4 linked regions of the Drosophila melanogaster genome follow. The gene in region 4 interacts genetically with the main gene of each other region. Each region holds a gene or a part of one and is shown on either strand. Other genes may lie near its edges.

Region 1 (6,600 bases), on a different chromosome or scaffold from region 4:
AACCAAAAGCAGTGGCGAAAGTTCAGAGACAGCTACTTACGAAGTCACGGAGACCACGCCCGATATAACCACCACAACGCCTTTGATGCAGAGGATCGCCACTAGTACAACAAAAGCTTCTACAACGACCACAAGGAGTACTACAACCACCAGTACCACACAGGTTACTCCTGCTGAAAATAATGCCTCATCCAGCACTGAGCTGGATTCCCAGTACGATGACGAAGATCTGGAGGCGCAATCTGTGACCCTGCTTAGACCTCCTCCTCTCGTGCAAACGACCACGGCAGAGACGATTCTTTTGATTCCTCCGGCTGAAGAGCATGTGGCGCAGATAAAGAGTCGTTCCTGGGTGACCACCACAACACCTCAGAGTCCGAGTGATAATCAAGTAACTCTAGCTGGTCCAACGAGCACAGTACCACCACCGCCACCAGCTTCTCCTCCACTACGAGGTGGAGGACGGTCCACCATTACCAAGGTCTACACGCCGTATCAGCAGCAAGTGGCTCAGCCCACGGCAGAGGAGTATCAGAGAACCACGCCCAGTGGTGATAACGAGGGCGTGGCCAGCGAGCATCAACTCACGGCTAATGCACAAAAACGCACGGAACTGGAGCTCCTTCAGGTTGATCGTGTGGATCGCAAGGACGGAATGGATTGGTACTACGAAAGCTTTAAGAAGAAACGAGACTTCAACGGTGGAGCTGCTGTGCGGAAAACAGCCCACAAGGAGGTATTCTACGACGGAGTAGCTGCCTCGTCCAGCTGGAATCGATTGCACAAGGAGATTCTCTTTATCAGCTTGTTATTGTTGTGGAGAGCGTGTTGAACGGTTTTTAAAGCTATTTAATTTAGACAGTTGAAATATTTTATTTTGTACACATAAATAAAGAATTTATTTTATATATAAAGAAAAACTTTGTTAAAAGATTGCGATTTAGCACGTGGCTAGACTACCTGAAAAGTCAAAAAGAAAACCTTTATTAGTAATCTATATTTCATTCATCATAACTAAATATGCATATTTTTAATCAGATGGTGATGCATGTTAAAAAGATTTCAACATAGTTTTTCTGAGTTGGGTATGAAGTTGTCATCAAGAAGGCAGTTTAAATAAATAAATAATATTTTACATTGGCAATACCTTTTAGGTTTTTCCAACCGAATCAGTTGTAAATCTTGTGAAAGTATCATTAGTTTATATTTCCTGCAAAATAAAAGAGAGAATATAAATTATTAATTGGCCCTTATTGCCTTAAAATTTGATAAAATGTACTTGATTCAGATGGTGATGCATGTTAAAAGGATTTCAACATAATTTCTCTGATTTGAGTATGAAGTTGTCATCAATTAAGGAGTAAGAAAACATTTAATTTAGTGAGGATTTACCTTATCACTGGTTCAGTCAAATTTCAGTTTTGAATAGGAATCCCAATATCTGGAAATATTTCTGTAAAATACACAAAGACTGTTTAATTATACAAATACTATTATACATAAACTAAGTTTCAATATTTTATTCAGATGGTGATGCATGTTAAAAAGATTTCAACATTATTTCTCTGATTTGGGTATGAAGTTGTCATCAATTTGGGAATTAAAATAATTTGTACTCAAATGGTGCGGAGGATTACATTACCCTTTAAGGGAGATCAAGGCATGATTAGATTGTATCCCAGGCTCCCGGCTGTTTTCAATGCCTGTAAAAATACAAAAATATTACACTTGTAAATTTATAAAACATATTTTTTCCACAGTTTTTATAATTGGGAAACAGCAGATTTTCATTTCTTTGCCTATATATACGGAATAGTCAAGCACACTTAACTTGTGCACTAAGTAATTACGTGGAATGCTCTTCACATTTATAATGTATCACCATGTAATTTACCATAATTTAAAATCTTATTTAACCCAACTTTAACCAAATGCCAATTTTATATTGTTAATGACAAATGTGAATATGCAGTTATCTTTCCTTTAACCTAATTTTTTATCCATTTTGCAACATGATGTATGCATTGGGTAGAAAGTCATTATGGGTTGTTAAATAAGCTGAAACAATAGTATTTCTTGTAAACTTACCCCAGAATATTTCTAAGTGTCTCCAGGTATCTCACATTGCACCACGTGTAAATGGTGATCCATTCAAATTGCCGTTCTGGTGCGGTATGTGTATCATTTTATTACATTTATCATTGCATCAGTTTTTAAAGGAGACGAGCCCATACGGTCAGCTTTGCATGCGTTATATATTATAGCAATCGGTTTCATTTTATTTTAGTTTTAATTAGAAGCGCGCTGACGACCTTTACCAAACGAAATTCGGATAGAAAGAAGGCAGAAGGTTGCCGGATGTCCACTGAGTTGCCGGTGCTTTGGGGCTGCCAGACCTTTTGGTTGCATAAAGAAAAATATTTATATTAAACATAAATTAAACATAAATAAGCTTTTTTCTTGAAAATAATATAATAAATAATATGATATAAATAAAACAATACTATAAAATAATACTAAAATATTCACTTACTATTTAATTGAATACATAAGAAGGCTCATCTCTATAAGCAATCATGCACTGATAGGATAATTCTAATTTCTAACCTCAGTTAAAATAGTTGTGGAGCTAAAGTAAAACTATAGACTTTTAACTGCACATATACTAACTATTTAGACGGTATTAAATGCGTGTACCATATCGGTTAACAAGCGATACCATCGCAAAAGAACTCCCATCTCCAGAGCGCGCTGCCACCTTGAGCGAATTGGCGCAATTTAAACAAAAATAAGGGAAAAGTTACAGTTGCTGCCGCGGTAGAGACGCTAGAGGAGAAACTGCAAAAACTCCAAGTGTCAGGAAGATCCACCAGATCCGTCCACGTCGAGATTGTTTGGTCCGCTGCGAAGATATAGCGAAGCATCCAAGTGGGTACGTCAGGTGGAGGGTGGAGTGAAAATGTTTATACAAGCCTGATGCGTATGCGAATTGTATTTTTCAACAGTCCGCATCGCAATTTGGATTAGCAATGACGACCCCGCTGCAGACACGAATGGCACTGGCCGAGATTCCCGACCGCCTGGAGGCGCTGCGTATGGCCAACACACCGACGAACTCCAATCGCCGGACTCCGGATGAGCCGACTCCAGCGGCCATCATAAACACTCCGAATGCTAACGGAGGACTGGGACTGCGGGTGGACAACGATGTAAACGTGGTGCAGGCCCAGGACTTTGTCTTCTCTCCATTGCCCTCGCCAGATGAGCTGGTCATTCGGCAGCGTGGTCGCCGTCGCTTTACCACAACATATTCTCCAGATAAGGTCAACGGAGGTGGTGGCGCAGGAGGAGGTGCCAGCGGTGGTTCCTCAATGCGTAGTCCTTTCCAGCGCACGCCCACCAAGAACTTTCAACTAACAAGCGGCATGATCCTGCGCAGCTCCCCTCGCAAACGCCTGACCATGGGCAGCACTCCGCCAGAGCCCACACCAATGGATACCTACTCGCCCATCAAGATGGCCACCACCAAGCAACTTTGGCCGGGAACACCAGTTGTAAAGAAGCTAAAAATGGAGGATAGACCTGTGGGGCAGACGAACACAGATGCGACGCTACCATCCCTGTTGCAGGGTCTATCGCAGGAGCAACTAATCGATTTGATCATGAACAACATTAAAAGTGCCAGTGATGAGGGAGAAATACGAACGCAGCTGCCCACGCCAGACATAAGGTACGTTAACCCTACGTTACATTTGGTTTGGACAGTTGCTACCATAAAAAGTATATATATTCTATTTAACCATGTCCGTCCGAAGGTCCGTCCGTTTCTACACAATCTAGTCACTCAGTTTTAAAGCTATCTGCAAAAAACTTTAGCAAACTGTGATCTTAACGTGTTTAGGTATACAAAATCTATAAACAATCGTTAGACGGTATGATATATGAATCTGAAATAGAAACTGTCGGAAAATGAATTTAAATATAAAGGTGTCGTAGTTTTTTTTTATATGATTGTAAAGTGTTTTTATTCGGTTTACACCAGTTTCTTGACAACAATCAATTTGTTTCCCTAGAAACAATCAAAACAATTAATTGAAAATAATAGAATAGACTAGTTTTTGATAGTATAGTGTATTAAGATTCGGCTTCCGGAAGTTACGTACCTTAGTGCTGTCTATTCTCCTTTTAAAATGAATTTGTGAAAAAGGGTACATAGGTTATGTAAAGGTCAAAGCAACGAGACGCTTAATAATCTCTTCACAGATGGGTGGTGCGTTTTGAAAACCTAGAAAATAAAATCCAACAAGCAAACAAACATATACATAAATCGTTTTGTCTTGTTTTCAGCGCTTTGGAGCAGGATCTGCACCATGCTAAGCGGCTCATCTTCAAGTCCCTTCCCACCTCCCGGCTGTGCAAGAAAACCGATGCGGCGGCCTACTCCAAGGCGTCGATGCATCTAAACGAATTTAAGCGGGTGCTGCAATCGCAGGCCAAGCGCCTGCACGACTCCACTCACTGGGACGCACTAGTGGACTACGTATCCATGGCCTGGCAGTGCGTGGCTAGTACGCCCAACTGGGAGAGCCATGCCCACAATGCGGTTCGCCGGCAATGCTTCAAGCTGTTGGCGTGCTCCTGCTATGCGGCCATTAAGCACGGAGGAATGCGATTGGGTCAGCTGCGACTCGAGACACTGGAACGCAATTTGCGCGAATGGTCCAAGGACTATGAGGACGTGCTGTCCTGTGTGAACGCCCTGCAGCGTACGCTTAACAGCCGTAGCAGCTTGTAAACACTGTGGAGACTATAGACTTTTAAGGCCGACTTGCTGAACTTGAGGTTTAGTGGACCGAATTTAGTGTGTAAGGCGAAACTTAGCCAGTAAGCGTATGATATTTGGCGCAGCACGTGTTATAAAATATTTTTTAATATGTTCCTCGACATGTTGTCCTATTTAAAATGCACGCAAGGAGTTACTTCATTATTTAGTGATCTAAGCCACACGCTAACTAAAGTCTGTTAGCATTATAAACGTGTATTTATTAACGCTTAAATATATGCTTAGCAAGTAAGTTTGATTACCACTGGACATTTGTTGAACTAAGTACACTTATTTGAATGCTACTACGACTAGATCCTACTTCTCTATGACTGACTTCACGCTGTACAACAAGTTTTCTCACATCATGACTTCCCCTCGAAATCTTAGCTTTGCCAAAATATTCGTCTCCTTCTTCGGCAGGTGAGTATACTGAATGCAGAAAGCAGGTTCAATATTAGTAGCACTAACACATTTGGCACGTGCTGGCCACGAGAACTGCCGGAAATGTGACGCCCTGGAAGTAGAGAAAGAAAAGTGCAGATTAACTTGTGTGTTCCCTTGGCGGAGTAAAATGATATGCAACAGTAATATATTCACTGGAAAACGGTTGCTACTTGTTGATGCCGCTTTTCACATATTCATTTATGAGCGAGCTCCCATTTAAGGCAAAGTGTTATGTTTATTATGAGAATCTACTCGAAAATTTCTTGGTATAAACTACTCACAACGATAATATACAACCAAGGCTAATTGCCCTTTCGAATTTATAGCTCACCATATATCGATGTTGTACTATATGATTTAGAACGCGCTTTTGACGCCCAACAAAAAATTTGGTGTGAGCGATTTCAATTAGCATTATAAACTAAATATAATTAGCATGGTTCGATTTTCTGCCAGCGAATGATATTGACGAGATCTCTCTGGCATTTTTTTTTCTGGCTTGTGTATATTTATCGAAGGCGCCGTGTGGAAATTGAATATAATCGGGGAAGTATGTTTACGTTATTAAATTAGCATTGCTTTGTTAATCCCCCTTTCTCATGTGTGGAGTGGCATGGGCATTTAGCACGGATATATCAAGCTACCAGATGAGGTGATTCCACGAATGCCCTAGGGGTTGGCAGTTGTATCTAGTACTTACACTTCTTGATCCAGATCTCAGCACAGCAGCACTCCTTGACCTGGACGAATGTGAAGCAGGATTCCACGGATGATGTGTGCACCTTCTGATCCGCGAAGCACACGTGAGGCACATAGGGCAGGCCCTCTGAAAATAAGGGTACATTTCAAAATTAGTTTCTAATAATAAACATCCATCAGTTTTTCACTCACAAAACTAATATAGCCAATAAATGGTTGGAAAATCAGCACAATATTTAGAATATTCAATGTGTTGCCCCCGTTTCGGAATCAAGTGCCTAACTATTTATAATAAAAACCACGTAATTAAAATATACAATTTATGGAATTTTTCGCTTTGAGTAGAAACGGAAATCAATAAAATAGAATATGTTTATTAGTAGCTGCGCGCACGAAAAGGCTGCAATAATTTTCAAGAAAATATAAATTGCGGCGAGTGACTAAATATGAGCGGCATTGTTTTTCGATCGGATCATAGCATGTGTTTGTATTATTTTCCGTTTGGCCTGTTTATAGTTGCTCATTTGTTTATAAAACTCAACGTGTTGAATTTTATGAAGTTCGATGTGTATATTTTCAGGAACATCGTCGAATAGAAGAAGAAAAGCCCACACAGAGAATAGCCAGTTGTT
Region 2 (8,476 bases), about 15 Mb from region 4:
TCCTGATTTAGGTGATCTAATCGAAACTGTGAAAAATCTAATTTTTTTATTGATTCCTGATCTGAGCTTGCAATTGATTCTGGTGTCCTTTGGATATACAAATTTTGGTTTCTTTCGGATTCTGAAGTAATTAATTTGTATGTTTGATCAAAAAGGGTAACTGTATCATTTTTGTAATTAATAACTGATTGAGCATTTTTCAACAATTTTCTGCCAATTAGCATATCGTAATTATTAGAAAATCTGTGCACATAAAATGGTTCGGTTTTTTTGAAAATACTATTTCTGGGTAACATAATCAAGTCGTTCAAGGTAATAGGGCCATTTGATGTTAAAACTTCACATCTACTATTTTGAATGGGAAGACAAAATATATTTTCATTGATCATATTAATTGTTGATCCTGTGTCTAGAAGGCATTTGTATGAGCGCCCTTTGTATACTATTTTTATGTATTCGTATTTTCCGGGGCTGTTAACCGAAAATTTTCGTTTAGTTCAGAATTATTTTGGTTTTGTTTGTTATTAATTTGTACAGATTGGACTTGTTGTTGCCCTTCATTAATGAAGCTATGATTTTGATACGGATTGTATTGATTTTGGTTAAAATACTGTTGCTCGTAATAATTAGGTTGGACTTGTTCGAATTCATGCGCGTCTTGGAATCTAATTTCGTCAATAGACATTTTAGTTTGTTCACTGTCCGATGGTCTTAGTCGTTTAGTAATCGGGAAGTTAGTATTTTTATATGTAGAGGGTTGTTGTAGTCGAGGGTATGTATTTCCTCTAAAATGCGTTGTTTGGGGAAATTGGGCTTTGTTGGGATATTGTTGGAAATGATTTTTTTGAATAATGGGTTGTGGGTTTATGTATTGGTTGGGTCTGAAATAATTAGGTGCGTGCCACATGGGTGGGTTGTTAGTTATCTGCTGTGTATAGCTAGGTCTAAATGGTTGAATGTATTGATTAAAATTAGGTTGGAAGGGTTGGGAATATTGTGAGTAACTTGGTCGATTTTGAGTTTGAACATTTGTATTGAATTTTTGTGTTTTCGAATTCTGGTTAGAATTTGAATTTTTATTACGATATTCTGGTTTTTCATAAAATTCAAAATTAATGTGTTCTTCATAAATTCCCTCATTTTGTGCAATGGTAATTAAGGATCTTAAGTCTGTAATATCGTGATGGGCTAAAATAGTGAATAATTGTATTGGTAGTTTCCTTATCAGTATCTTAATAGATTCTTTAATACCCTGAATATAAATAAGAAAATCCGATTGGTTACCTTCCAGGTGTAGTTTCGAAATTAGTAATTGACGTCGTCTCTCCGCTTCTTCGCAGAATGCTCTTAGGCTTCCTCTGTATGGTGTCTCCCTGAAGTTCTCCAGAAGTTTGTAGTTTGGTGTTTGAATTTTAAATTCCGCGATGAGTCTTGCTTTAAGGGTAGGCCAATCTTCGATGTTCGGAAGTCCCAAAGATCGTGTAATTTGTCCGTCCAAGTTCCTTTCGATGGCTCCCAGTAGAATCCTCTGTTGTCGGACATCATTTGTTTGGTAGAGCGAAATTACGTAATCCACTCTGCTGATAAAGGTGTGAAGGGTTTCTGGATCACCCTTGAATGGCATAATGTCTTTAAGCTGCCGACGGGCTTCGGCAAGGTTTATGTCGCTCAGCGCAATAATTGGTTGTGACATTTTTATTGTAAAATTTTTAACTTTTGTGTTTTATTTTTTTGTTTTGTTTCGGATTCAATGTTATTATTATTTTTAAGCTTTCTAGTTTCACTTGTTTGTTTTTTTTTGTTTTGTAAATTTTTGTGTTGTATTATTAAAATTCTATATTGTTTTAATTTTTTATTTTTATATGTTGGTTTTAAAACTTAGTTGCCTTTGGACTTAATATTTTTGTTTCGTATTTCACTTCCACTTATTATTGGATAACCGAATTGGAATTATAATCCAAGTTGAAGAGTTTTCACGAATTTATTTTGGGAGATGTTTCGAGCACTGGACTATAAAATTTAACTTATTTTCCACTCGAAGGTTCTTTTTTTTTCGGATACTTTTGTATCCTACCGACTGCGCCAGTAAAATTGTTGTTTTATTTATGAGTCGAACTAATGTCCCGTCAGTTGACTAAGGACAACGCCAAGAAATAAAAAATAGTTTTTAGGAGAAATAGTTTCACGACTTTATTCTTTGGATCTCAGCTTAAGACTAAAAATCAAATGCAAATTGGATTGAGGAGAAGCCTCAGTATTTGAACAATATTTGTATTTCGGGAGAGCCTCGCTCTTGGGTTCTTAAGATTAGGTAGCGTTGAAAGAGGGCAGTCAAATCTGCTTAGGTCAGGCTTTAGGATGTTTACAAGAACGGCTGCGCTGCCAAAGATAAACGAATGCTGCGCAGCTGGGATACGTTATGGAAAATTACTAGAGTGCATTACTGATTTCTTTGAAATAATGGAAGTGGCTGGTTTGGACCACCCAAATACGTCACTATATATTAGTGGGATGGACGCAGTTTTAATAGGCAATTTAATATGCGTTTTTTTATGAGGTAGTTATATTATATTTCTTGCCTAACTTCGTCGTTATTAAAAAAGGTAACTAGGATAGAATAGCATTTAATGAATCGTCTAATGCTATGTCTTCATCTGTGGGTCTCGTCGGAGGAGTCGGCTCCACTCGCAACTGCTCCATTTTCGTGTAGAACTTTGGGCACTTTTGAAGAACCTTGGAGTATTCCGTGAATATTTGAAAGGACGCCCTTTGGAGCAGCGTTTCTCCCATATGATTGGAGGCCAGTATTTTTGCCAAGTTCTTGTAGTCCCGCTGCATAAGGCAATCCCGGGCCAGTCGTAGTTTCTCGTACGCAGTGGATCGTCGAACGCTGAAGTAAAACTCGTTACTGGCCGGAGGAGCACAGGATGGGTTTTGGTTCACCCAAAAGCCATCTTCGGGACTGGTGGCGATCTCAAGCGTGCGTTTCAAAACATTTGCGGGTATCCTTCTGGCTGGAAAATTCTCACCCTTTATTTTACGCGGTGCAGTTTTCAAAGGCGATGGCTTCTCATCTTTTGTTTTCATTTTATATGGCGAAAGCGAACATAAATGCGTCGCGAACACAATGCGTCGTGCTAACAGTGATAGGCAATGTTAACCTGTTTCACACCAATATCGATAGGCAGTGCTGCCCGCTGAGCTATCGATTACCCGCAGCCAATCGATGTTTTGATTCGTCCGATATCCCAAAAAGCAATATTTTCCGCATGCAACCAAAAGCGAAATAATAAAATGTTGCCTGTGTAATTGTACTTCCGAAGTTTTGTCGATTTGAATAGTCTCTCAGGCGTCGAAGGAACCCCATTTGTCCAAAAGGACGCCGTTTGTCGGAGAAATCTACTTCGCAGCCGGAAAATTCACAGGAAGTCTATTTGCCTTGAGTTCGCAAGTTGCCAATTTCTTGACGACCCCAGTGCAAAAGTCGCAAAAATATTACGAATATTTGCTGGTAATCATTTCAAGGGTACGTATCGAAATACAAACTGCAATCCCTTCCCTTAAAGGAAAAGCCAGCAATCAATAACCGATCTCCACGCCCAGGACTAAGCAAAGCCGGTGCGACGAAAGCAGGGCAGGATCAGGAGAGCAGGAGCGGAGTGGAGATCCTGCTGGCAGCAGGGGCCCTAAGCTATGAGTGCGGCCAAGAAGTACAAGCCCATGGACACAACTGAGCTGCACGAGAACACAGAGAATATTGCCGCCTGCCTGAAGAAGGCCGAGAACGTCGCCCCCACCGCTGCTGCCGCCTCGAGCGTGGGCCGCAGTGCCTTCGCTGCCCAAAACATGAATTCTGCGTCCACCAACGGCGAGCGCCTGCCAAACTTCTCCAAGCTAGGCGGCAGCCATGGCGAGATCCGCACGGCTTCAACTACCTCAAATCTCCTCAATCGCATGGGGGCTATTCACAACAGCAAGCCTGGCGATGTCAAGAAGATAGTGATTAAGAACTTTAAGGGTAGGTCCCGTCTAGATCTCAACTGTTTGTATACTGCATGATTCAACTTCCTTCCTTCCTTCCTTAGATAAGCCTACACTGCCCGATAACTATTCCAAGGACACGTACGTGAAGCTTGAAGAAGCCGTTATCGCCATCCAACTCTCCAAGCCCATTAAATATTCGCTGGAGGAGCTCTACCAGGCGGTGGTGAACATGTGTAGCCACAAGATGGATGCACAATTATACGCGAAACTCAAGGAGCTAACAGAGCAACACGTAAAGCGCAATATTAAGCTCAAGGAGCTCACCGGCGGTAGCATGGACAAACTGGTAAGTTGCTGTTTAAGGAGCACATTTAAAGGTTTACTCGTCAACTTTTATTGTCTTTTAGATTTTGCTGGAAAAGATCAACCACTGGTGGCTCTCGTTCTGCCAACAAATGATCATGATTCGCAGCATATTCTTGTATATGGATCGAACTTATGTGCTGCAAAATTCGACCGTTCACTCGATTTGGGACATGGGGCTGGACCTTTTTCGCATCCATTTTGCTCAAAACAGCGTTGTCCAAAAGCGAACCGTCGACGGTTTACTAACGCTTATTGAAAAAGAACGACAAGGCTCCACCGTGGACCGTGGTTTGCTGAAGAGCTTGGTTCGCATGTTATGCGACCTGCAGATCTACACCAGCTCCTTTGAGGAGAAGTTCCTCGACGCAACCAATCAATTGTATAAGGCTGAGAGTCAACGCAAGATGCAAGAACTGGAAGTTCCCGAGTACTTACAACACGTCAACAAGCGTTTGGCCGAGGAGAACGAGCGTTTGCGTCACTATCTGGACTCGAGCACCAAGTATGCTGGCGAAGTCAATAATAAAAACAATTATTAATGCGTTTTTTACAGACATCCACTGATTTACAATGTGGAAAAAGAGTTACTTGCCGAACACCTAACGTCAATATTGCAGAAGGGCTTGGATTCATTGTTGGAAGACAACAGACTGAGTGACCTTACACTGTTGTACGGGCTGCTTAGTCGAGTCAAAAATGGAACATCCGAGCTGTGCGGCAATTTCAACGGTTTCATTAAGGTATGGATATGTTAAGTAGTATAAATTTATTTAAAGATACCTTTGTTTTAACTGCAGTAAAACATATTAATAGATCGCGCTAATATACTTACTTTCAGAAAAAGGGACGCACCATTGTCATCGATCCCGAGAAGGATAAGAGCATGGTCCAAGATTTGCTCGATTTCAAGGACAAAATGGATGTGATAGTTCGCACCTGCTTTGAGCACAATGAGAAATTCACAAACTCGTTGCGCGAGGCCTTTGAGTTCTTTATCAACCAACGTGCCAACAAGCCGGCCGAGCTTATTGGTAAGCGCCCACTGTCACTATATTTAAACGAGTTTGCTAAAGTTTATTCTTCCATTAGCTAAATACGTAGATATGAAACTGCGATCTGGCAACAAGGGAACCACAGATGAGGAGTTGGAAAAGACTCTAGATAAAATCATGGTTCTGTTTCGTTTTATACATGGCAAAGATGTATTTGAAGCGTTTTACAAAAAGGTTGTGTCCATCTATTGTATGTCGAGCATTATTTAATAACGAATACCATCTTAGGACTTGGCCAAACGATTACTTGTGGGCAAATCGGCATCAGTGGATTCCGAAAAGAGTATGCTCTCCAAGCTTAAGCAGGAGTGCGGTGGAGGGTTTACGTCCAAGCTGGAGGGCATGTTTAAGGACATGGAACTGAGCCGAGATATCAACATTGCGTTCCGCGGACACGCGTTAAGCAACAACCGCGATGTCCACAACTTGGACTTGTGCGTCAGCATTCTTACCATGGGCTACTGGCCTACATATGCACCTACAGAGGTCACAATGCCGCCACAGTTCATCAATCCTCAGCAGATTTTCAACAAATTTTATCTGGAAAAGCATAGTGGGCGGAAGTTGCAGTGGCAGCCTACATTAGGAAATTGTATGCTGCGTGCTCAATTCGATGCGGTAACTACTAATGGCTCCTACTATGTTCTATGCGATTGCAATGTTTACGTATGTTTCACAGGGACCGAAAGAATTGTTGGTCTCGCTGTTTCAAGCGCTTGTGCTTCTATTGTTTAACGATAAGCCAGTTCTGAGCTACGAGGAGATATTGGCCGCCACCCTCATCGAGGATGGAGAGTTGCGTCGAACACTTCAGTCCCTGGCTTGTGGGCGCGCCCGCGTCATAACAAAAACACCGAAAGGCCGCGAAATCTTGGATGGCGATCAGTTTGATTTTAACAATGAGTTCACAAACAAATTGTTTAGAATCAAGATCAACCAAATACAGATGAAGGAGACAGTAAGTGGCTTTAGTTTTGATGTAATTTGCACACACTTAATCTTTCCCCTTTTCCATTAGAATGAGGAGCAAAAGGCGACGGAGGAGCGTGTGTTTCAGGATCGTCAGTATCAAATTGATGCGGCTATTGTGCGCATTATGAAAATGCGAAAAACGCTGAGCCATAATCTTCTCATCACCGAGCTGTTCAACCAGCTTACCTTCCCTGTCAAGGTCCGTATACTAATCCTATTTGTTCTAAGTAGAAAGAAGCTAATATGTTCGTTGGTATTCCAGCCCGCTGACCTAAAGAAGCGAATCGAGTCGCTCATCGACCGCGACTACATGGAGCGAGACAAGGATAATCAAAACCAATACAACTATGTGGCATAAATGGCCACAGATTCTGTGAAATCCGAACACCGATTCGATTGTAATTCGCTCTATACCATACACATACATACTAGCAGTCTAATGAAGTTTTTGGAGTGCCCTCGTCCGATCGGCGATGTTCAGAGTTTTTCAGCTGTAATTTCGTTTCTATAACTAAATCGTTGAACAATCCGCCAGCTAATAGTGTAGCGACAGTTCTTTTTGTAAGTTACCTTATCATACAATAAATTAAGCGTTTATTTTACAAGCCGAGTCCTTTGAAATAGGTCATCGCCCTCGGAACGTCGATGCCTCCAGCAATTTAAAAAAGTTTTCGAACCGAAAGCAAACTAGGTGTTCAATAAACTTATTTATTGGACTTATTCTAATTTGTTTACTTTTAATTGATAATTCTCCTTCAATTAACAATAGAAGTGACATTTGCAGGCTAATTTTCTAAAGGAAACATTAAAATAATTATAACTCGTACTAGTAGCTCTGTATGCAAAAAAGAGATACGCATAACTTAATAGTTTTTTATTTACCATAAATAAAAAATTACTTGAAAATATAATGCACTTCGTGTTTCATTTGTAAAATATTACCAGCATTACTGCTTCAAAAAATCAGCGTCGAGCCCTTTGTTAAGCAGTTAGCAAAGGAATATAGTATATATACAGTTACAGATAAAATTGGGAAATTAGGTAGATTATATACAGATCAGAAATAAATATTGCTATCGCTTTCGCGTGCAGGGGTCATATTAAAAATGACATTGAGGCTGGTTTAGGTATCACAAATTGCCTTGCTGTTATCCTCCTGTCATTCTTTCGTATGCAAATCAAAGCTGCCAACTTGAAAAGTTCTTAGTGGCTTTTGTAGATATATTACAAAAATATTTGTAGTGTCTCCCGACAATAATACCATTTACGCCTCAACACTGTTGACGCTGTATTGTGAGCTGTCGTACTCGGACACGCTGTCGGAGCCGTAGCCCCCAAATGCTGCCGCCGAAGGTCGCACACTGCTGGTCCTTATCCCATTATCTTTCAGCACATCGGGCACGTAGATGGGTGCCGGACCGGCAATTTCCACAATGCTTGGGCGGCGCGTGGCCGCACACCGCTTAATTGGTGACATAAAGGTGAACAAAGTCAATGTGATAGCCAGGCTGATGATAAGCAGCAGGAATCGAGCCATTCCGTTATCGCCACGGAAGAAACAAATCATGGCCATGACCAGTACCAGGATCACGACCGAGAACTTTGTCATCGTAACTGCAGTGGAGTGGATCTTACCACCCTTGCGTGATATCATGTTTGACGGACCGTAGGCAAAGTAGAGGTTGTGGCGATCCACGAAGTGTTTTAGGCAGATGTAGATCATGGCGAACGGCATAATCAGCGGACAGGCAACGCTATACACAATGGCTATGGTGAAAACGAGCGTTGTCCAGGCGTAGTGCGTTCCGAAAGGAAACTCGATTAGAATAGCCTTACGAATGTACGGCGTTTCGGCCTTGGATTTCGCCTTTAGCAATGACCAGATATATACAATCAGCTCCGGGAAGCGTAGCAGCTCCAACGCTGTACCGATAAACGCAGCCGTAATGATGTAGTTCACATAGAAGGAGCCGCGATCCGGCAGGAAAATGCACTGCCAGCGATCAGTCTGATTTAAGAATCCCCACTCTAGCAGCGCCTGTGCCGATGTCAGTCCGAGGGAAGGCAGAATCATGATCATCATAAGCAGATAGCCAAAGCAC
Region 3 (7,203 bases), 180 kb from region 4:
GTACGCAAAGGTCTGACTAAGACGTTGATATAGTTACTTGCGGGTGCACACAGCGAGTTTGGGAGTATCAAAAAGTAGACCACGAATAAGTAATTGCTTATGTGCCGAAGTATTTTCCATCTAACACTTAAAACTATTGTACATATAGTTACTTTCACACGTACGATCAACGATCAACTTACACACCGATAAAAGCATTTTGCTCGAGTTTACAATTTCCGTTTAGTGAATTCCTTTGGCGAAATGCATTTGGTTCTTCCTAATTATTACTACATAGACCTTGAGTACACGAATGTTAACGTTGTCATCAAAATAATCAATACGGACGTCTTTACACTTTTGATATTGTTGTCAATGTTATATCACTAGTTGAACTAAATTAAACTTCTCCTTAAACCCATGTCTTTTTTCCATTCTTTCCCAGCTCTGCTTCATCTCTGCCGCTGCTGGCCCATATTTATACCTAGATTTTGTATTTTGGTGGTGATGGTGGTGGTGGTGGTGTTGGTGGGTGAGCTTTAAGCAAGCGTTTTCCATTCGCAACTAGCTACTGGCTGCTTTTTGGTTTCGATATATAGCCTTTCGTTCATAGCACGCAATTGCAGCTCAGCTCGCTTTGCGAATCTCCTCAGATATCTCCCGTTTCCATGGCTGCGTTTATGTCCGCCACAATCTTTCCCATCACCTCGCGGTAGGGGGAATCTGGTCGGAAAGCCGTCTCCAGCAGCGCCTCCTCGCCGAAGAAATCGAACACCTCGTCGATGCGGCCCAGCGACTTTTCTGTGAGATGCGGCTGCACAATCGACTTCAGCGCCACTTGCGATTCGGCTATTGACTTTTGCAGGTACGGCAGGTCGAACGTGAAGTCCACTTCGTAGAATGATATGATGGACAGCTGCGTGTTCTGCAACAAAAAAAAATCATAATAACATGTAGTTAAGGAGTAGCATTTAAGACTCACTTGAAACTTTCTCTTAAAGAGCTCCGCCTTCTGCAGCTCCTCGTCGCTGAACTGATTGTTCCGGTGGAGCACACCGATCTTGATCACAATCTTGATGATGTTCTTGATCAGCTTCTCCGCCTTGGCCTTGTTCCCCGTGTGCATCTTGCAGAGCCTGTAGAGGTTGTCCAGCAGCGACGCCGTCGTGCCATCGATGAAGGTCTTGGCGATGTTTTTTGTGGCCATGCGTGAGAGGATCTTCTTCTGCGCCCGCAGCCCGATATCGTGCGACTTGAAGACATTGTCCGCCATGACTAAAGCGGATGGGAGGGGTGGGATTGGAATTCAGATTCAGACATTATTATCGCTGCATATTCATTGACTAAAGCATTGTGGCAAAGAAATACGAGCAGTACGAGCAAACAAAACGGAGCAACAACTCAGCAACCAAGGAAAACTTAAAACTGAACACTGAATGGTGGCAACTGAAAAGCAAATCAGCTCCGCTCTTCTCCGCGGTTTACCTTCCAAGTTCCAGTAGTCGACGCTCCACAGCAGCAGACATTGTCGAAGCCCGGCCACCGACATCGCGACTATATATCACACATATATTACACCGATTCCAGTTGCAAGCATTGATAAGGGAATTATAGACAGAGATATAAAAACATGAATGATTGGGCCATGTACATCAGCGCCGTATCTTTAGATAAAGGAAACCTGGTTCTTTCTTCGCTGTGCTTCTGTGTTTCTTTGTGCTTTACGTGAAGTGGGCAATAAAACAGTCTGTGTGGCCTACGTTTAACTACAATGAGTCACTCAAATGCAATTACTTTTACCTATAGTGCTGGGAACTGAAACATTGGAGGAGAGTCCTGTAGGACTGAAGTCTGTTTAGACTAATAAATGGAATCAACTAACATAAGTCACATTTCTATTTAAAGAACAAAACAAAACGATTAATGTACGCACAACTTTATTTGTAACGAATAATTTCTTATCGAGTGTTCGTCACAAGCTTTTAACAAACAAAACAGGAATCTAACGATAATAAGACATTCTGGGGAATTCGAATTGGGTTATCATCGTAAACACAACATAAAACGAATAAATTTGATATAAGGAATTTAATGTACAGTCAAAGTTAGAGCTCCGCTGCTCCACAACTTTGCTGCTTTCCACACACAGATATAGGAATGCTGCCGTATTAATAATGGATGACCAACTGCGCCCCTCTGACCGTATCTATAAGGTCGTTCTAACGGCGCGGCGTACGTGCTGGAGCCCGAAATGGAAATGCGGCAGTGCTTCCAACTGTCCAAACAAGGAGTCCCGATCAGAGCTAGTTGGGTGACGGAGTGCTGGGGGGAGGAAACCGCTGGCGGGTCAACAGAGTTCAGACACACATAGGTATTAACTAGAAGTCGTGACTAAGCCTAATCTGGAGCAGGGCATCCCTGGTTGCTAATTTAACTAAGTGAATGCCAGTTCCAGTTAGATAACGCCCGGCAATAGAACCGTGTCAGGACACGGACTGCTCCAAATGGCTAAGGTCACGCGAAGTGCAATAAAAGAAGGCCTATCCCTTCAAAGGAACGGAGTGTGGGTCCCCCAAGGACGCCAGTGGAGTGCGGAAGTGCGCTACAGCCGAAACCACAGAGTACTTGAGTTCGTTGGGCCATTCTTCTCCTGGCTTTCCTGTTTGTCCTGCATTTGCGTGTTCCGTTTTCGCAGCAGGAGGGTTTCTTTACCTTCTGGGTGTTATTGATTGCAACAGGCTGTGTGTGATGCCCGCCCCCTTGAAACCAGAATAGAAATCCAATTTGGCGCTCACCTGTTTTTGTTTTTGTTGTTGCTGCAGTCCTTGAATCGAATCCTTGAGTCCTTGAGTCCAAGTATGTGTGTGTATGGGTGTAATGTGTGCTTGATGACCAGTGTCCGCAAATCGAAGTGCTAGCGAAAGCAACTGAAAGGGGTTGGCTGCATTAAAGCCCGCGAACTGCGTACAATTTGCAGCTAAATTTATGCGCAACTTCGATTAAACATAAAACAACTCAGCGAACAGCAACAAAAACAAAATATCAGCCTGTGAGACCAGCTGCTTGTAGCAACCAAATGTTAGACTGAAACGAATCAATCTTCCGTGGCTAGTATTATTTTCACTTTTGGCGGTTCTCCAGTCTTTCGCAACAGAATGCGTTTACTTCCCATCTGAGCACGGTCACACTGCCCAAGAGTCCAGCTGCGTCGTTGAAAAATATTTTCGATGCCTCGAAGGTTGATTTATTTCAGAGGAAATAGCAGGAAATAAAGTTGAAAACGCAGATTACGAGCAGCAGCCGCCAAGAGGAGTGCACAATGAACATTTACAACAAGTTGCGGGCCAGGGAGCATGGCTACGGTGAGTCTTTCGCTTGGCGGGAGAATCTCACTTTTGGCGCTCGAATTTCCTGCGATCAAAGGTGTTGATTTTTAAAAGGTTTCAATGGGTTTTCCTGGCCATCTGGTCAATGTGCATCCTGCACGGCCACCTGACCACAGAGCATTGCCTAAGGGGTGAAGAAACCCGACTAGTTGCTCCACTGGAAACTGCTGATCGTGCAGAAGTTCCGTGGAAAACAAAGCCACGGCACTATTTTCATGGTTTCTCCTCTGGTTTTCGTTTTTCTTTTTAGGCAATGAGAGGACCTACGACTTCGCCCTGCGCCGCCTTTCCGTGGCCAAGGAGGACAGCTGGCGGGGCATCGCGCCGGCCAACTACTGCCCAGACTTCAATCCGGAACCGCCGATCTTCTCCGCCAAGTTCGCCAACTGCGATGGCTATCGGCACATCCTGGCGATCGCCAACGAGGACGGCAAGATCACGCTGCAGGACACCACCCAGCGCAACCACCAGCCGGAGGAGCAGTCCCTGGTGGGCCCGCAGTGCCACTTCAACGCCGTTTTCGATCTGGAATGGGCACCCGGCCAGATGCGCTTCGTCTCCGCCTCGGGCGATCACACTGCCAGACTGTGGGAGGTGGCGGGCTCCGGCATACGCGGCCTGAACTCCTATGTGGGTCACACAAGGTCCGTCAAGTCGGCGGCCTTTAAGCGCACCGATCCCGCTGTCTTCGCCACCGGCGGCCGTGATGGCGCCATTCTCATCTGGGACATCAGGGCCAATCTCAATATGGACCTCACGTCACGCGTGGACAACTGCATCTACAGCGGTCACACGGGCGGACCGGGCACGCCAGTCTCACAGCGCAAGCAGCGCACACGCACTCCCAAGATGGCCGGAGGAACCACCTCGAGCAGCATCACTGGCTTGGCCTTCCAGGACAACGATACGTTGATCTCCTGTGGTGCCGGTGACGGAGTCATCAAGGTGTGGGACCTGCGGCGCAACTACACAGCCTACAAAAAGGAGCCACTGCCCAGGCACAAGCTGCCATATGCCGGCAGCTCCACCTTCCGTGGATTCACCAACCTCATTGTGGACGCGTCAGGCACGAGGCTGTATGCCAACTGCATGGACAACACCATCTATTGCTACAATCTGGCCTCCTACTCGCAGCGCCCGCTGGCGTGCTACAAGGGACTCCTTAACTCCACGTTCTACATCAAATCCTGCCTCAGCCCGGACGGCAAGTATCTGCTGAGCGGAAGCAGCGACGAGCGGGCTTACATCTGGAACCTGGACCACGCCGAGGAGCCGCTCGTTGCACTGGCCGGACACACGGTGGAGGTAACCTGCGTGGCCTGGGGCTCCAGCCACGATTGCCCCATTGTCACGTGCAGCGATGATGCGCGTCACAAAATCTGGCGGATTGGACCCGACCTGGATGGCCTCAGCGAGGCGGAGCGGGCGGAAAAGTACCGAGGAACTGCCTCCTACGTCAGGGAGTTCGGCAAGAAGGCATTTGGTCCGTCTAGTGGAAATCACAAGTACAATCTTCGAGATCTGGAGTCCACGCCAAGATCTCTGAAGCGCCTTATGGATCAAAATGAAAGGACGCCAGGTTCCGTGGAAAAGACGACGACCAAGCGTTCGTTCCTGGAAATGCTGGGCGTAGCTGGCCAGGAGACGGAAGCCACAGAACAGCCCCAGAAACGGGCGAAGCCACTGGAGTCACGTGGAAGGCGGCTCTTTGGACCTTCTAGCCAGGAAACTGCTTGCAGGCACATACAACTTCAGTCCATAAACGAGGAAGATGCCTCGCCGAGCAAGAGACAAAAGGAGAACTCTGCCGCGGAGGATGTCTCACCACTGCACAAGCTTCTCAGCACACCAAGTCATTCCCCTTTGAGTGAGAATGTCAACCATGTGTACACCTCCCCGCCAACCACGTCAGCGGCAGCAGCAGCGGTGGCTGCAGACGCGCTTAATCCGCCGCCGATCTCCGCTGCCATCTACTCGCCCACCTCCAACCTGCCCAATTACGTGCTGGATGGCGAGGCACCGCACCTGGGCATCATGTCGCCCAAGCGGAAGGCGAAGGAGAAGGTGGACTGGCTGACGAATATCCGCAAACAGAAGCTGATGAGTGGCAGGGCCCATGTGACGCTCAGCGAAAAGATCAGCGAGGAGCAGCAGGCCGATGTGCTGGCATCCCCGCGCCTCCAGAGTCTGCGGCAGTCAGAGTGCAGTCCCAGGATACACGCCTCGCCCCGCAGACGCATCTCCCATACGGACGGAGGCGGTGGCACGCCGGCTGGCAGCTCCTCGCACTCCCATTCCCAATCCCAGCCAAAAACGCCCACTTCCAGTAGGCGAAACAGCGAGACGACGCTCCTGCGATTCTTTAGCATTCAGAGAAGTAGCAGTGTGCCGGCGGAGGAAACAACGACAACGAATGCGGCTCCCTCCTCTTCTGATCCCCATCCCCCGGCAGTGACTGCGCCCGCAGCCACGCCCCTCAGCATGCGCACGCCCACGACGGCGGTGGGCAGCGATTGACGCGGAGCCTCGAGCCACAGCACCATTATTGCACTTGTAGTTTTAAGCGGACATTGTTTAAGTTATTTTATGTAGATAGTAGGTTGCATCTATCGCGGGACGAGTTGGTAACCAACTCCCCGCCCTCTGTACAGAGCCAAAAGATACGAAAGACTAACGTACCCGAATAAAAGTAACTCCATTTTAAAGCTGCCTTGATTGATTCTCTAAAAACTAACTCGTTTAATGTACTGTTTATTCAATTTTTTTTTTGGCATAATCAAAACGGTTTATATGTGGCACTCATGGCTAACAAGTGGCACTCAGACCATTTTACTGCAGCTTTTTCTGTTGCTCCTGCTGCTCCCTCTTGGCCGCATTATTAATCCGCATGGTCTGGACAAGCTGCTTGGCCACCCCAGCGAGCAGTATGATGTGGGTGAAGTGAAGGGCAGCGCTGGAGAAGTTCGTACTGGGATAGGTGTTCCAGCAGTACTCAATCAGTCCGAGGATCAGGCAGCGCACGCCCAGCGAGTACGGCGTCGACCAGGCCAAATAGGGTAGCGAGTGGAAGTACCAGACGTAGAACTGATAGTGCAAGGATCGGGAGCAGGCCACGCCCACCAGGTTGCACAGGAAGAACGGCAGCAGGGCCAGCTGGGTGCAGCGATCGAAGTGGATGCCATAGCGTTCCGGTTCCGCCTGTGCGGGTGCCGGAGTGGCCTTTCCTCCAGACGCCTTCTGCAGGCTCTTCTCGAAGGCCTTCAGGAAGGATTGCTGCTCGGTTGTAAACTTCTTCTGGTCCTTGTCCTTGTCCTTTTCCACTTTCTTTGGTCTTTTCTGCGCGTTCAGCTCGAGGTTCTGCTGGGCTATTTGCGGCTGCAGCTGATCCTCAATACGGCGCAGGCGCACGTAGCTCTGGAAAAAGGTCCAAGTGGGCTTGGCGAAGGCCAGCAGGAGCAGCAGATGCAGGCCCAAAAGCGAAACGTGGAAGGTGCGGTTCTCGAACAGATCTCTGCTCAGGAAGCGATAGTTGACCGTCCACTTGTGCTCGAAGATGCGTCCCAAATCAAAGCTGCCCCGCAGATACTCCACAGGATGGGTGAGCAGGAAAGGAGCGCCCAGCAGCAGTTGTATCACTCCGCAGACAGCCAGCTGCAGGATCGTCCGCAGAAGTCCCAGGTTGGCCAAGTAGAACAGCAAGAGCGCAGGCGCAAACAGCAGGATGTTCATCTTAACGCCCACCGCCAAGCTGAAGAAGGTGCTACCCAGGGTCCACCTTCTGTCCAGGAACAAATTGAGTGCGGCATAGAGGAGCAGCACTGCCACCGGATCGTTGAAC
Region 4 (8,474 bases):
TACTTATTGTGCGCCGGCGACTGCTTCTGCTGGTCAACTGGGGTCAACCGGGGGAAAAACAAATCTGACCTGTTTCTTTCAACATTCTGAGCAAGCACTTCGTCCAAGAAAAAGTATTGCTTTGCTGAAACGCTATGTGATTGGATTAAAGAGCTTGAATTCTATTCTACTAAAAAGTTTCAAACTTTCTCAGTTTAAAGCCTATCCACCTAGCTGCCTGTGCATCCATGTTAGAGAAAAAACAGTTTGGCGTTGAGAGTAAACGTATGGCCATTGTAGTGGCCATTGTTATATGGCTGCGCATAAAATCGGGATCACCGAAGAGTAAATACGGCAGCCAGGGCCAAGTGGGTGGTAACCCTTTGGCAATGGGCGAAGCTGGTGCTGCTGCTGCTCCTGCTACTACTGCCGCTCCCGTTTAGCTTATCAATAAACTATAAAAAAAAAGGAACGAGCTAACAAAAAAGAGAATAACACAAAGTGCAGCGGACGCACAAATTGCAAACAAAAAAGGACAAATAAAGTGACCAAAACAGTGGGCGGCGGAGACGGCGGACGAGAAGTACCCGCGGCGCAGCCAGTGGCAGAATAAACCCAGATTAGCGTTCCGGCAGCCCAGCCGGCAAATAGGATTAGTGGGCGCGTGGGGCAGTGGCAAATTCCTTTGGCTTTGCCTTTGGCTTCGGCTTTTTTACGAGGCAATTCCATTTGCGTTCGCCCCAAAAGAGTTGGTCGCACTGATACATATTCTGGCTGCTGTATACGCACTTGCAATTTAATTTTGACCTCGTCCAGGATGATGTTGCACGTGAAGAAGGACACGGCTATCGTGGGTACCTCGCTTTCCTTGCGGTGCAGCGTGTTCTTTATGTAGCGGATGACCAAACGTGTTTTGCCCACACCTGCAAGACAAGAACACAAATTATGCAATTAATCGAGAGATACAGCATTGTCTTTCTGTGTACCCGTGAGCCCTATTTCGCTTCAAGCATAATGCCGTGCAGCTTATCAGTGAACGTGGAATGGCGCACGCATTAATTGACCGCTGATTAATCACGCAAATTGAGCCGAATAAACAAAACAAAAACTGGAGACGCACTAGCCCGCAAAAGGTGGTAAACAGCGATAAGGAATCGCCTACCGACCACGAGATTCTTTGTTCGGCGCCCACTTTTTTGTGGCTCAGAGAAGCCCCTCTGTGTTTGATCAGACGGGGAATCTCCGCGTGGAGCTGCAGTATGTGCATGCACTGAATCATCCGGCGATTATGGGAAGAACGTATATTCCGAGGAAAGTACCGCCTTTTTTTTATCAATGCGTCCCTTTGTTTGGCGAAAAAGCAGAGCAAATACTGCACCCGCTGTGCATATAAGCCCCCTTAGTTGACCTTGGGCCAAACTTAAATACATATACTCATTGCGAATTCGTCAGCCGATTACGCTGCAAAAAATGTCCACTTTGTTGTGTAGAAGAGGGTAGACGGTGGAGGCTTCCCCCTTGATATGTTTTTGGAGTACAAATGTAGAAATGAACAATTTTAAGTTTCGGAGTTGTGCACTACGGAAGCCATCAAATTTGGCCCATTAACACAGATTTCTTATCGTAAATCCAAATCCCAAGGGCAACGTCATCTTGATGTGATGACATCGTGTGTGGTTAAATTCATCGGCTAGTTCAGCCTAATCCCAACCAGACACGCTGTCTTTGCCAGACTCTCTTCTGCATCTACCTAAATCCAGATTGCAGCATGCAGCCTGCAGATTCCCAATTGGGGCCAGTGGAGTTCAAGGCTACGGCTTATCGGCTCACCCCGGTTGTTAATCTTATCACTGGGCAATTGATGGAATTACTGTCATTATGCGGATCATTGAGACTTCTGAATGGAGTCCGCCGAATGGCCATTGAAATCGGAAACGGGTGGAAACGTGTGTGCTTACCTCGCGAGCCCAGAACAAGCACTTTGCCCTCGATTCCGCGCATCTCGCCGAGATTAGCGGCTCAATCGCATCGCTTTCCGTGGACTTTAGTGACGTTTTTTTTTTTTGTAAAATGGATGAGATGATGTGTTGTTGGCTCAGTGGTTGTTGCTGCTGTTGTTGTTGTTGCTTGCAGAGCCAGTGGTTGGGAAGCGCGTAATTGGCCCTTTGGCGGCCTGCTGCGTCTGATTTCTTGGGCACAACTGAATTTATCGGAGTCGGTGGGGGTTTTCAAAGCGGGCGCTGCGATTAAAAGCGCGCAGTCAGCAGTAAAGATAAAAGATTTAATAAATTTGAAGGCTTGTTGTTATTGTGTTATGTTATGCGCGAACAGCTGTTTACCAGGGCTGACACGAGGTGCGATAGTTGCTGCTGGCAGCGATAGCTGGTCTTGCAGAGTAGAATTTCGCAAGGAAATAACTTTGTTTCACAAGTAAATATATTCGTAAAAAATATATTTATGTGTTAGTTTGATTGGTTAGCAAGGATTCCAATCAGGAATATGACTACTAGAAAAATCACGACCCCGATTACCGCTTGGAAGATGCCACCCGATAGCAAAACTATCGCCCATCACTAATTGCATTTCCCAGACGCGTTAGTACCACCGCCAAAAGCAGGCAGATGTTCATACAGGCGATTTTAACAACAGTGTTTTATAGATAAATTAACAAATTAAAGGTATTTTAAGGAGCTAGACAACATGCATTAGGAGCTACAAGCTCGCGGGCACAACTGGATACTAGCGATAGGCGTGCAGCGTGCGACTCGAGCGCGTTAAATGTCCGCAAAAGTCAGACTTCTACGCGCGTTTTTCGCTTGGGTAACTTAGTTTTCCCCGACCTGGGAAAAGTGCCACATTTCCAAAAGGTAAATGCACTGCCAAGAAGATTAATGCGGCTAAGATAAGAAAATCGTCAGTGACTCCCCGTGCTTACTTTCACTTTTCTCTGCCCCGTCAATCTAGCCATTCGTCAGGCTCCACAAACTGGAGCAGCCTGTACAAAATGCCGCGTGCCTAAAATAACTTCGGGCTATAGAAGAAGCTATAACTACAACGAGAAATCTATTTTTATTCGAAGAATGGCCACTATTGGAAACAAGATAAACAACAGCTACGAATCGGAGCCTTCTACAGGAAGCGGGGTAAGACTAATTGGTGTCCTTGCGGTTGCGAGCTTGCTGAAACTTTGTGTTTTATAGTCTTCGCTCAGTGAAAACAATGAGAGCCACATATCTGACGAGGATCACATGAACTTACCGTATCTGATGAAACCGAAAGCACTGAGCAGCCAGCCCATCAAGGAAACCCCAACGCCACCCAATCCGAAGACGGGCAGCCAGGAATCGCAGTTCCTGGGCTTCGGAGACAGCCCATATGGCCAGGTGAACAAGCGTCTGTATGGCTCCCAGCTGCAGAACCTTAAGCTGCCGGAGGTGGAGCCCCCTGCCGTCCGACGTCCCTCGCCGGGCAAGATTGTCTTTCCCCGGTTCTACGACACCCTCATCGAGGAGAACAGCTGCAATGCCGTGGACATGGCCGTGTCAGTGGCCACGACAGCCACCACGACAACGGGCAGCCTCTCCTTCGATGGCAAAATCAAGAGCCTGACCGCAAAGCCCGAAATTCAGGACAAGCCTGGGCCCTCCAATGCTACGAATCCACGTCTGTCAAACGTGCTAGAAACCTCGCTCAACACCTCGCAGCAGAAGTTCAACAACGAACGCTCACCTGATCTCTTTGCCGACAGCGACGATGAAGCTGACAACGACGAGCAACCGGAAAAAGAGCCGCCCACCAGGCTGGAGGATCTGCCCGAAGTGTTGGAAGAGTCGCAGTGCACCAGCGACGCACGAGCTCGCTCCTCGCTGAATGCTCCCACGGAGTCCAGTTTTGTGGATGAGCAGACGATGGACCTTTCGAGCACCCAGCTGAACGCCAACGACCCCCGGTCGCACTTCTTGGAGAACTGCAGGAGAGAACGGGAGCTGTATCGGCGGATTCGTCGCTGCCTACAGGGAGTTCGTCCGCCGCCCTCGGTGACTGCACCCGATGTGGACGTCATCAAAATGGTGCTTAGCATGAAATCAAACGTGCTAAACTTTCTCTCCAAGGATAGCCCACCATCTACACCCAGAATCGAGGACAGTGGCATTAGCGAAACAACCTCACTGTTTCGACCATCTCACAGTCTCTCGGAGGCTCAAAACATGGGCTGGCGGGATGTGCTGGGAGTAAGACATCATGGACTGAGGTATGCTCTTTAAAGGATTCGTTTGTGCTTGCAGTGTTTTCATTACCCGCTTCCATTCACAGCTACAATCTTAACAAGGCTGCCGAACAAAATGAATACCTCAGCATGTCCGTGGTGGACCGCTATGTGGGCGTGGAAACCGCGACGTCCTATGTGAGATCGCCATCGAGCGCCAAGAAGAGAAACATGCGTATGAAGTGAGTAATAAATTAGTCAGCCGTGTGAACGTTTAACTCACTGAACCCAACTCCTTACAGAATGTTAACCCAATCGCCTGGCAATCGCCTCAGTCATTTGGCCAAACGACGTGCCATATTTTCATCTGCGAATCTAGCCACCAACTCACAGAAGCTTAACAGCTCAATTGGACCACAAATAATGCTAGATAAGAAGTGGGTAGCTTTTGTGATTAAAAACTCCAAACACATACTAATTTCCATGATTTTGGCTTACAGAAAAGTGCGAAATAAACGCAAGGCCACGCCCAAGCGAAAGACGCCGGGCAGCAAGAAAAAAGGTGAGTGATTTGATAAGATAAGCCAATGTACTTTTGTTAATGATGCATTTGCACCAGCTCGCAAGACGCCATCTTCATCCGCCCGAAAGCGCCTCTACCGCACTGATCTCATCAAGCCAGGACCTTCGAGAGAAACCTCTAAGCGTGCCTTATTCCAAAGTCCGGCCAAAACCCTGCAGCAACAGCAGCTAATGCCGCCCAAACCGCTCTTCAAGCCGGAGATTGCGAACCGCGTAGAGCGGTCGAAGCGCGCTCTCTTTTCGCCGGATCACCAGGGCAGCAGTAACCAGCTGGAGTCGATCCTGAAGCGGAAAAGAAACGCCTGCGATGACGACGAGGATTCAGCTGATTTGGCTAGCCAGAGCAGCAAGCTCTTCCGGGCCGAGAGCAGTGGACCCAGTGGGTTGACTCCTCGCGCTCTAAAGATCAAGAGCCAGAGTTTCTGCATTGGAGCTGGTTCCTCCACTGCGGGTGTTCAGCTAAAGTTGGCGCAGCACGCGGCTGCTACCCCTGGGCAGACGCGGCTCAGTCTTGGCCTGAGCGGCAGCAGTAGCAACCTGGTTAACCCGGCATCTTTTGCAAGCGGTACGCCACTGGCGAGTAAACTGCACAGAGCGCACTCGGAGATGAGCGCCACACCGAATAGCAGTATGACTGATAACCAGCGAAAGGTGAGCCTCTATTTATCTATACATCAAATTATGCCTTTTGTGTATGGTTTATCCCTAAGATTCGTTCACTTAACCGTCATAACTAATCTCGTTTATTGCCACAGAAACTCCTTTGGGCTGTGTCGCAGGCACTGCAGGAGAAGAAAATTACGCCGAAGCACGAGCAATTCCGTCAGCATGCGGCAGACCTTACGCGCATTGTGAAGCGCATCTTCCAGGAATTCTACCTGGGACATTCGTCCAGCAACAGCGAAACACTGCTAAGGTGAGTAAGGGGTGGATATAATACTCGTATAGGCACTATTGGAACTTCCACCTTCCGCAGGCTGGCCAAGAAGTTTGCCTTTAGCGTGATTGCGGGGAAGAATGCGGACGACGTTTACCTGCAGGCGCGCAGTCAGGAATGCGAGGCCAAGCGGTTGTCGAGCACCCGCCTCTCGGGCTACATCGGTCCGGAGGAGTTTGCCCAGCGTAAACTGCTTCTCTCGCAAACATCGGTCGTAGGATCAGCAGCAGGTTCGGCGCGATCCCTGCACAACATCTTCGGCAGCGAGAACTCCATCGATTCCTTCGGTCTGAGTCAAATGAGCCTGCCCACAAATGCCTGCTCCGAAACGCAATCGAGTATAGTGGATCGCATCTCGGAGGATCTCTTCTGCAAGGAACGCCAACCCATCCGGCCCAATGCCTCGCTCCAGAACAGCTCGTCGAAGAGTAACCTAGGCGGACTCGCGCTGCGCGAGAACATGGACTGCGAGGCTCGCCGTTCGGCGCAAAAGAACTTTACCGGCAAGGACCAGCAGAACATCAGTCCCTACTTCGGAGGCGGCGGAAGTAACAGCTCTGCGCGCAAGTTCCAAATGCCACCCGTGGGCAACAGCAACCACTCCGGAGGCAAGGCCAAGAGACAGATTTCCTTTGACTGCTAGAAGAGTAGGGCCAATAGGATAATTGTTGAAACGTCATTATCATAATATGATGCCCATAAATCCTCTCCGATCCCTTGAAATTCTAGGAGCAGAGGCAAGGAGCTGCCCGACGTGTAAATGAGTTTTAGCTCTTTAGCCTTGTAAGCAAAAAGATTAACTCGTTTTTGTTTCCATTATTTTTTGTTTGTTTTAGCTTAATTTATTAATTCAACTGTCAGGTCTCTTTAAACCCTTTCAAACCATTTATATATAATGACAGACAATCGTATAATAATAGGTATAAGTAAAATAATCTGATATAGATCTTATAGATCGCCTCTTCTTCGACTCGCAAGACTCCCGACTTTTCCTTGAGCTCAAATGTAGTTCAAATGCAAGTTAAATTTCTTTTAGTAACGGCATACATACATGATCTATATGGGATTTATTTTATGCGACTCAAATTTGATGAATGCAATATTTTCCACTGAAGTTTAGATGTATTAAGAACATTTTGTGCTTAAAAATTACAAATTTTACTTAACTACCGCACGAGTACTCAATGCAACTGAAATTAAGCTGAAGCAAGTTCTGTAACAGTGTAAACTGAAATTAGTATAATAAAAGCGCCCCAATCAATAGTAACCACTGCGGTGAATGTATCGCCTAACCAGCCCAAAGGACACGATGTGAAAGATGACGGCCACCACCACCAGACTGAAGCAGTCCAGCCAATAGGTGTAGTCGGCGGTGCGATAGGATCCCTGCTGCAGCACCTCCACTCCGGTCTTGATGCACGGATGATCCTCGTTGACGGGGCAGTCTGGATAAAATATTATTGGATAACATGCATCCTGATTATCTACTTGGAGGTAAGCTCACCGATATTATCGATGTCGATCCAGAACTTGTACATCAGCGCCTCGTTGGAGTAGAAGAACAACGAGAGGTACTTTAGTCCAGGCACTGTGTCCACATTCATGTAGGTGCCGCCAAAGATAAGGAAGATCAGATCGAAGGGCGCCGCGCACTCGGAGGCCATCTTATCCGACTCGAAGAGGCTGGAGAGGAAGACCCCATAGCCAACAGCCGCCACCGCGGACAGGCTCATCAGGAAGCCCATGCTGAGGTACAAAAGGAAGCCGCGCGTGTAGTATATGGAGGCATATATCACCGACAGGAAGACGTAGCCCTTGAAGAAGGCCACGGGCACGAAGGAGAGCACCAGGGCCACGTAGTAGGCGGACAGGCTGTAGGTGCCCTCGCCCACCTCCCGCCTGATGATGGGAAGGGCGGCGGGAAATATATACGTCACGCCATAGCTGAACGTGAAGATCATCTGGGAGAACTAGATAAGTGACTGAAGGTGGAGAGGAGAGAAATGCACGCACCTCGTTGCTGAGCATGAAGATGGATCCACCGACGTCCTGCACCGTCCGTTGCGTGAGTCCTCCAATGCCGGAGTACATGAGGGATAGTGTTACAGCGGTGATCTGCAATTAGGGATTACAATACTACCTAAATTTGGCACAGCGTTTGAGAACTTACCATGAAGAAGCCAAAGGCGATGAGCCCACTCCTAATATTCCGCACATCCTCGGTCATGAAGCGCACCATCAGGAGGTACACCTGATATATCCACCTTATTTTCTTGCTGAAACATAAGAGAAGTTTTGAAGAGTCAGTTTTTATTCCTCAAATTAATCACTTTAAGGAGTTACAAGTTCTGGACGTGCTTCAGGTAATCCCCGCTGTAGCTCCGCGCCAGCAGCCAGCTCCCGCTGTAGAGTCCATCCGTCTCGTGCTCGTACTTCGCCCGGAGCACAGCCCCCGCGTTCTCTTTGCCCTCCTTGTCCGCCAGGGTCTTCAGGTAGAAGTCCGCAGGATTGCAGTTCAGCGGGAGTTCGTAGCCCAGGCTAAAATGATCAGGATGTAGAATGGAGAAGGAATCTCGAAAGGAAGGAGCCCACTCACTCTGTAAAGAACTTGGCTGCCTGCTCGGTGCGTCCCTTGTAATGATGAACTCCAATTAAGAACACAAGTCCGTTTTAAGTTGAAGGCAGCCGTCGGGCTGACATATATTTATTCAATTTCTTCTTTTGATTTTAGAGTAGGCAGAAATGGTTCTGTCAGCTCAACGTCTACCG

Evidence for each region.
Region 1: of mi (region 4) and CG5199, changing one suppresses a phenotype caused by changing the other (phenotypic suppression), as found in Drosophila melanogaster (one study listed by BioGRID).
Region 2: of mi (region 4) and Cul4, changing one suppresses a phenotype caused by changing the other (phenotypic suppression), as found in Drosophila melanogaster (one study listed by BioGRID).
Region 3: of mi (region 4) and l(2)dtl, changing one suppresses a phenotype caused by changing the other (phenotypic suppression), as found in Drosophila melanogaster (one study listed by BioGRID).

The regions. Positions count from the first base shown.
Region 1 is NT_037436.4:20,449,005-20,455,604, reverse strand, and holds CG5199 (uncharacterized protein), read left to right. Parts: upstream 1-2,740; 5' UTR 2,741-2,932; intron 2,933-3,005; 5' UTR 3,006-3,029; coding exon 3,030-3,730; intron 3,731-4,347; coding exon 4,348-4,795; 3' UTR 4,796-5,073; downstream 5,074-6,600. Other genes in the region: atk (artichoke), read left to right, coding at 1-832; CG5910 (uncharacterized protein), read right to left, coding at 5,209-5,339, 5,970-6,095.
Region 2 is NT_033778.4:8,101,067-8,109,542, reverse strand, and holds Cul4 (cullin 4), read left to right. Parts: upstream 1-3,224; 5' UTR 3,225-3,526; intron 3,527-3,603; 5' UTR 3,604-3,693; coding exon 3,694-4,018; intron 4,019-4,085; coding exon 4,086-4,330; intron 4,331-4,391; coding exon 4,392-4,852; intron 4,853-4,903; coding exon 4,904-5,090; intron 5,091-5,188; coding exon 5,189-5,381; intron 5,382-5,439; coding exon 5,440-5,576; intron 5,577-5,630; coding exon 5,631-6,020; intron 6,021-6,081; coding exon 6,082-6,360; intron 6,361-6,420; coding exon 6,421-6,573; intron 6,574-6,636; coding exon 6,637-6,732; 3' UTR 6,733-6,935; exon of another isoform or gene 6,936-6,998; 3' UTR 6,999-7,283; downstream 7,284-8,476. Other genes in the region: udd (under-developed), read right to left, coding at 2,608-3,087; Tmem63 (transmembrane protein 63), read right to left, coding at 7,639-8,476.
Region 3 is NT_033778.4:23,699,337-23,706,539, forward strand, and holds l(2)dtl (lethal-(2)-denticleless), read left to right. Parts: upstream 1-3,140; 5' UTR 3,141-3,298; coding exon 3,299-3,341; intron 3,342-3,615; coding exon 3,616-5,882; 3' UTR 5,883-6,067; downstream 6,068-7,203. Other genes in the region: sigmar (salivary glands marred), read right to left, coding at 629-904, 962-1,254, 1,465-1,528; Alg3 (ALG3, alpha-1,3- mannosyltransferase), read right to left, coding at 6,195-7,203. UniProt on the Drosophila melanogaster protein: Substrate-specific adapter of a DCX (DDB1-CUL4-X-box) E3 ubiquitin-protein ligase complex required for cell cycle control. The DCX(DTL) complex, also named CRL4(CDT2) complex, mediates the polyubiquitination and subsequent degradation of E2f during S phase.
Region 4 is NT_033778.4:23,521,291-23,529,764, forward strand, and holds mi (minus), read left to right. Parts: upstream 1-2,565; 5' UTR 2,566-2,846; intron 2,847-2,943; 5' UTR 2,944-3,059; coding exon 3,060-3,122; intron 3,123-3,179; coding exon 3,180-4,231; intron 4,232-4,293; coding exon 4,294-4,428; intron 4,429-4,488; coding exon 4,489-4,623; intron 4,624-4,686; coding exon 4,687-4,748; intron 4,749-4,805; coding exon 4,806-5,419; intron 5,420-5,523; coding exon 5,524-5,684; intron 5,685-5,744; coding exon 5,745-6,348; 3' UTR 6,349-6,962; downstream 6,963-8,474. Other genes in the region: RabX1, read right to left, coding at 769-902, 1,938-1,980.